2 linked regions of the Nothobranchius furzeri genome follow. The protein of the gene in region 2 interacts with the protein of the main gene of each other region in a pairwise test. Links are inferred from orthologs where the notes say so. Each region holds a gene or a part of one and is shown on either strand. Other genes may lie near its edges.

Region 1 (3,752 bases), on a different chromosome or scaffold from region 2:
ATTTGTAATATATAATGTTATATTATTATTATTATATTGTTATTACAATATAATAAACACAAGACAATTACTAAAATAATAAAACAATGTTGATCACATGACTGACGTCCAGTCCCTAGAGCAGCAGCCCTCTACAACTGGGCCGAGGCTCGGTACCGGTCCATTAAATATTTTTAAAAATTCCAGAAATATTAGTTTATATGCAGTTGTCCACAGGAGCTTTTATTTTGAAAATTAGCAGTATTAAGCCTCCAAATATCCCAGATTTTAATTCCGTTTAATTTTATTTTTCGTAGTTATTTTTGAGATCCTTATAAATCTTTTACAGGAAATGTTCTCTTAAAATAACCAAAATAAATGGTCTGTAAATAAGGTTAAGAGATCCAGAGATAAACATTTAGAAGTTTTTTCCAAATATAAACATATTTTGTACAATCAGACCAGATCTGTGAGGTTTTTCAGGAAGTGATCCGACTTAAATCCCTTTAATCCTGCCGGTAAAACAACGCAACCTGTGGTCTAACGGAGCAATTTTCCCTGTAAGGCAATGGGTTTCCATGTTATTTGCCTGCTGCTTAATGGTTTTATTAAAGGTTTCAATGAAAAAAGCATTTCAACCAGGATCAAACATTTAAAGTTTCAAAATAAAAGCACAAACAGCATCATGGCCATTATTCCCTGAATCATTTCGAACTTCACTGTTTTCAGGTGACCTCTGACCTTTGGAATCTCTCAACGGGCGACTAAACAGGATCAGATTAGTTAGAATTAAGCTACAAAAACACACACACACACACACACACACACACACACACACACACACACACACACAGCTGAGACACACAAAAAAACTTATCTATAAGCTGATCCTTCTTCCTCCCACCATTAGCTTCTCCAGGCCCTGATGGAGGTGTAACCTCAATAAATAAAACCCATCCGGTGTCATTCAGCCAGAGCGAATCACTTCACGTCCTAATGTGGAATGTTGGGATTGGGAAACTGTGTCTGTGTCAGATCAGTGAGAGCACTCGGGAAGACACGGCGCTCAGAACTTTTAATCATCTGTGATTTCTGCTGCTTTCTAGGAACTTACTCAGAGGAAGTGTGTGTGTGTGGGGGGGGGTGGGGGGTGGGGGGGGGGGTGTTTGGTCTAAAGGAAGGATGGAGAGATGAACTGAAGGAGAGGAAGAGGAGGAGGGGTTGTGTTGTAGCAGATCAGCCCGTGGTTGCCTGGTTGCATCATCACACAATCACATTTATAAATAGAATTACGTCATCCAGCTCAGAGCTGCTCCTCTTGGCTCCTCCCGCCACGTCACAGGCCCCGCCCCCAGCCCGGATCATAAAAGCCGGTGATGCAACCGATTCGGGTCAAACGCAACTCAGAGCAGCGGCGACGAGCGAGGCTCCTGCAGGCGTTCACTTCCTCAACCCGTCCGGACCGTCCGATCCAGAACCAACAGGTAGGCGGGGGGTTCCGGAGGGAGGGGGTGTTTCGGGGGAACGGGGATGTCCCGGTGAGGAGCGGAGCGCTTCCCGGTGGGCTGAATGAAACCATCAGGATTTGATTTATTTAAGAAATAAACGGAAGTTTTTATTGATTCAACTTATTAGATTTGAACTTTGACCGAACTTGTTTGAACTTTTAAAGTTGATTCAAACAGTTTATAGTAAACAAAACGCATAAAATGACTTTAAGATGTTATAATGCAGATTAACTGTAAACGTGAGCCGTTTTCTTATGAAGATGAAATAATTCCTTGATGTAATGGTTCAGATTTAAGTGTTGAGAAAAACACAAAAGAGTCGAACTTAATAAATAAATAGAGCTGCACGTGCAGCTTTCACGATGTTGCTCCTGCTGAGATTCAAACCTGATCATAAATCCTTCTGCTGTGTTTGGGTCAACGGTAACTCCTGCTTTATTCTATTAAGTTCAGGGCTCCTCTAGGTTAGATGTTTGGCTGTCAGCAGAGCTGTTCAGGAACAGCTGATCTTCTCATTAGTTGAGTTTGTTCCTGAGGAGTTACTCAGCCGAAAGAGAGCAGGAGCTGCTCCTTCAGCAGCTTTAGGAGCTTCTTGGATTATTTGATGTGAAACTTGTTGCATATTTGATTTAGTCATTGTTTTTTATTTTTAATTAGAATGATGCTGCAGCATCCTGGTCCTTCTCTGGCCGACATCAGCTGCTCTGCTCTGGTGCCCTGCCTGTCCCCACCGGGGACGCTCACCCTGGACGACTTCACTAATTTCACACCCATCGTGAAGGAGGAGCTGCGCCTGGCCATCCAGACCAAGCGTCTGTCCAACGGGCTGAGCGCCGACGTCAGCTCAGACGGCTCCAGCTCGGACCGGGCCTACGAGCGGCCCTCCGCCAGGCTCAAGAGAGAGGTGAGACGGAGCGAACTCTGAGGTTACCTGGTCTGTTTGTCAGACGGGGATCAGGAGAAGTAACGGCGTCTGTCTCTTTGGCTTTTAGTTGACTCATGACGAACACGAGAGGAGGAAGAGGAGGAGAGAAAGAAACAAGATTGCTGCAGCAAAGTGTCGCAACAAGAAGAAAGAGAAGACGGAAGGTCTGCAGAAGGTAAGAGACTTTTGTTCCCTTTCACTCTGAAACCCAGCTCATGAAGAACAACATTAACTCCTCCATTGTCCCTGTCCTCCTCAGGAGTCGGAGAAGCTGGAGAGTGTCAACGCGGATCTTAAAGCTCAGATCGAGGAGCTGAAGCAGCAGAAGCAGCAGCTGGTCTACATGCTGAACCTGCACCGGCCCACCTGCATCGTCCGGGCCCAGAACGGCCAAACGCCCGAAGACGAGAGGAAGCTTTTCATCCAGCACATCCAGGAGAGCACCTTACAGCTCCACAGCCTCACCTCCTCCTCCTCCACCTCCTCCTCGTTATCTACCGCCACAGTAGCACCTCTGGACGGAGGCGTCCTGACGCTTGACGACATCCAGTGTCTATGATGGTGATGCTGTGAGACTTTCTCCACCTGCGCCAAGAACGAGGAGACGTGGATCAGCTGCTGGAAGCAGCGTACAAAGCCACGTCTCCGTCCTTCACCTCCCAGCTGCTGGGACGTCCTGGACAGAGGACAGACGCCGACGCACTGAAACCAAACAAAAACCCAAACTTCACTGATGTTTTCAATAGTTAGTGGTTTGATTTTTGTCCCGGGGTGATTTTAAGGTGACTGATGCACACAAACCGTTCTGTGGAAAGAAGAGTAGCTGCAGGCCGGTTGAGTTTAACCTGCTGTAGAAAACCTATTTATTAAGGTAGGATGTGATGTTAGCGACCCTCTGAAGCTGCTGCTGCTAACCCCTCAGGACACAGACGTAGATGTTTAACTAACGGGAGTGTTTCTAGTAATAACGGGAATGATTCCGTGCTGCAGCCATGGCTGCAGCCTGTAAACATGACAGGATAATCGTATATGCAGATGATGAACTTCTGTTCTGTTCTCCTGCAGGACTGATTGTATTATTAATCCATCATTTTATATCTGTGTTGAAAAGAAGCTAAAGTGTTATTTCTACTTAATTCTGTTCCCTTTTTGAGCTTCTCAGACCAAAACCGCAATTATTAGTTAAATAAGCATATTTATTAAACATCACATTAAATGTCTCTGCTGAGTCTGTGATCCTGCGCCGTCTCATTTGTCCTTTTGGGGGTTTGGATGGGATTTGTTGTGTTTAGCAGGTTTCTGCTGATGAGGATGGTTTATGTTGTCTGTAGTTTGTGATT
Region 2 (3,652 bases):
TGACATAAACACTGTCAACACCATATCACACCCAGGTTTTGAAGCAGTTTAAGCCAGGGTAAAACAAATCACAACTCAAGTCGTAATAACTTGTTTAATTGACCATTATTTTCTTAGTTTGAGGCGTCATTAAACAAAGTCAAATTCTCGTAGAGAATCGTTGTCTCATGCAGAAAGCACAACAGTAAAACTTTAAAAATCCCATTTTCAGAAAACAATGTGTTGGTAAAAACTACACAGTAGTAAGCCAGTAGGGACTAAGAGAAAAAGCAAACTGACTTTAAAAGCTGGGCTTTGTTTCTCATAATTAATGAACAAATAATCACAATCAGTTTGTGTAACTAAAGTACACGATGCGATTCCAGTTCACATGAGAATATTTTCATTTTACAATCTACTGATGCATTCTAATCAGATTAAAGGTCATTTTCTTTAAACTTGATGTGATCAAGAGAGTTCATCTACTAAATGTGTACAATCTTATATAACAAAGTACATAATATCAAGAATGACCACAGGCAAGTTCAATATTGATGTGTTCTTTGTTTTTCTTACAATGTTTACTAAAAATGTCATCTAGAATTGCCATCATGAAAACAACCTAATGTCCCTAAATGTTCTGCATCGGATACTGAAGACACGCATGAAGCAAACACAGTAAACAGAAGAAATCTGAGAGAACAGCAATAAACTCAGGTTATTCTTATTTTTTTTAATGCACAGAGGTAATTTATACAAAAACGTTAATGGCACTGAGTAAAGTCAACGTCACCATGACGGAGTAATAAACAAAAAAGTACTGCGATCCTACAATCACTGCTTCAGGGACAATCAGACTACAGGTGGAGTGTTAATGAAAGACGCAAATCCAGCCGGCTCACCGGTGTGACGCTATTTTACATGCAGAGGCGAGCTCAAACATTCCCCAACGACAGCTGATCTTGTTTTCATAAACACTCGTCAAATTAAAACTCCGGTTTTGTGTCCAGAATTTAGACCAACTTCTTAATAAAGCTGCCAGTGTCTCGCCACCTCTCCAAAAAGTAAACCCATCTCCTCTCAGATATGTGGAAAATGGTCAAAGCAAATTTACTTAAAGCAAAAATCCAGAGTTTTTCCTCAGAGGGCACCATCTAGAGGTGGAAAAACGGTATTACACCTATGAGCCCTTTTCCCTGCTTCTGTGATCATGGCTGGAAGCAACGCCCCTCGTGTGTGAAAGTGCACCTCTGGCCGACAGACGTAGCTAAAACATTGTTTTACAATTAGGACGACGGTGGTAGAGGAGTTACGTGGCCGCCTCGTAACTGGAGGGTTGTGGGAACGAGTCCCACTCAGTCCGTCACAGTGGTTGTGTCCTTGAGCAAGACAAGTTACCTTGCCTGCTGGTGGTGGTTGTTAGGGACCAGTGGCACCTGTGTTTGGCAGCCTTGCTTCCGTCAGCCATTACAGCTGTGGCTATATTGTAGCTCATCACCACCAGGGGATGTCTAACACTACTGGCTAATGCTAATGCTGAGAAGTGCTCAATTCAAACTGCACGGGGCTCTATGGGATGGAGGCAATCTGAGCCCAAAAAAGAAAAGAAAAAAAAGTATTGCTAATTATATCACAGTACCAGGTAACACTACCACTTTTACTAATTTCTAAAAAATTATACATAATTCCTCGAAAGGGAGAAAACTCCAGATTGCTGCTTTAAAGTATCTTCATCATAAAGGTAGTGCTTGTAAAGTTCAAGAGCATTAAAAAAAGAGCAACACCACACTTTGGTAACAACTGACTGCTCAATCACTTCACTTGGCTGATTTCCAATCAATAAATATAAAGAAGATCAATAAACAAGTTCAACAAATACAAAAACACCTAAAGTGCATGTTCTTCTGTTTTCAGCAGTTACAGAGAATACGTTGCATGTTTAAAAGCATTCCTATGAATTACTAAACAGGCCAAACGCAATACAAAGCAATCAAGAGAGAATGAAAAAGTGTACAATCTGAACTGAAGCGGAGAGAGAAACTATTTCCTCTGCTTGTCTGAAGAGACCGCCGCGCTCCAGCGTGGATGCAGTTTGGGACGATCAGCTCCCTGAGGACTGGGATTTGGTAGCGCCCCTCCGTGGCTGACTCTCCTCTGTGCTTGGGTTAGCCGAAGCGGCACTGGCTGGGGCGGAGACGGCCGGAGCTGAGGAGGAGCTAACCCCATTGGAGGTGCTGACGGAGCTGTGCTGGATAGCCTCGTTCTGGGGGCTGCTGGGGATGGACATCTCCTCGCAGCTCTCATCTTTGTCGGAGACTGTAAAAACATCAAACAACAGCCGGCCGCGAGGCTTAAATATCCTTCCTTACATTTTATTTCAGCAGATAAAACCCAGAAGGCAATGGGGTAGCCGTGTCACACAAGCCTATTTGCATGTAAAACAGCTATCAGCGTGTAGAGGATGCAAACCATTTCATTAATCCCCATAATGCTACTTCTGCACCCCTTTCCTTTAATTAACGCTCCAATGTCAATTTAAACCCACATCATAAGGGGGCATTACATTCTGGGGCATGTGGCAGCGCTTCCCATCCCTAACTGCAGTCTCATTTGTTTTTTGTTACCTTGCCAACTACTGCAGCGACAGATGATTACAGCACCTGATTTTAATGATGCTCACACTGGAGAGTAGGGAAGACTTGGAGTCGAAATGCCACCAGCTGTTAGGCAGTTGCATTGAATTAATTGGATCCTGATGGGAAAAAAAAGACTCCACTCTCATGCTCCGTTTCATACAGGAATAAGGAGCACGATGATAATTAATATTGCTAATGATATAAAGTCGCTTGTTACTCCACTCTGTAATTAATGAGCAGGTCTTTGAGAATCTAAAATACAAATTCCATCGAAAGGGAGCAACGTCTGAACGGCTGTAGAGAAGTCTTCCTAAAAGGGTGTTAAGAAAAACGATAAAGCACACGTTGACTTCTGTTTCAGGTCAAAATCTAAATTAGCTTAGTGGTTTTGTTTCATGTTCAAGCGAGCATCATTGCTCCTAACAACACCAAGTGGCGGCCAGCTGATTTATCATAATACTCTGAAATTCCTGCTTCCCCGGGTGGGCAGAGCTTCTTTCCGCTCTCTCGCTTTCTGAAGCAGAGGCTCGCTGTAAACAGATGGACGGCTCGTGGTGCCAAGTGAAACTGTGTCCTGGCTTGTTGGTGGGGCAGTCTGGGCTATTTCCTTCCACCAGCCAGTTCCTGCGCCTGGGCAGGGGGATTACGGAGTCCGGAGGGCAGAGTGGCCGTACGGGAGTTGTAACTCTGAGAGACTTTTATGAAGTCTGTACATGAATGATCAGAGTCAAATAGTGCTTTACTAATTACACTGATATTTAAAGTGGCACCAAACCAGGGGATCCTTGTGCTTTTGGGGTCATTTCTGCAGTTGTTGAGGACTAAATGATTTTAGATTGTGGTGGGCTGCATGGTGGCGCAGTGGTTAGCACTGTTGCCTCGCAGCAAGAAGGTTGCAGGTTCAAAACTCGGCTGCGGTCTTTCTGCGTGCAGTTGTGTGTTCTCCCCATGCATGTGTGGGTTTCCTCCGGGTACTCCGGTTTCCCCCACAGATCACAACATGCCCTATAGGTTATAATTGTACGTTGCTTTGGATA

The links.
Region 1: the proteins of atf2 (region 2) and atf3 interact in binary tests that used the Homo sapiens proteins (3 or more experiments, as listed by UniProt). The link is inferred for Nothobranchius furzeri from reciprocal best matches to the Homo sapiens genes ATF2 and ATF3.

Annotation. Positions count from the first base shown.
Region 1 is NC_091742.1:15,053,815-15,057,566, reverse strand, and holds atf3 (cyclic AMP-dependent transcription factor ATF-3), read left to right. Parts: upstream 1-1,359; 5' UTR 1,360-1,463; intron 1,464-2,144; 5' UTR 2,145-2,145; coding exon 2,146-2,391; intron 2,392-2,479; coding exon 2,480-2,587; intron 2,588-2,671; coding exon 2,672-2,971; 3' UTR 2,972-3,648; downstream 3,649-3,752.
Region 2 is NC_091754.1:21,204,654-21,208,305, forward strand, and holds part of atf2 (cyclic AMP-dependent transcription factor ATF-2), read right to left. Parts: intron 2,296-3,652; coding exon 2,081-2,295; 3' UTR 1-2,080. UniProt on the Homo sapiens protein: Transcriptional activator which regulates the transcription of various genes, including those involved in anti-apoptosis, cell growth, and DNA damage response.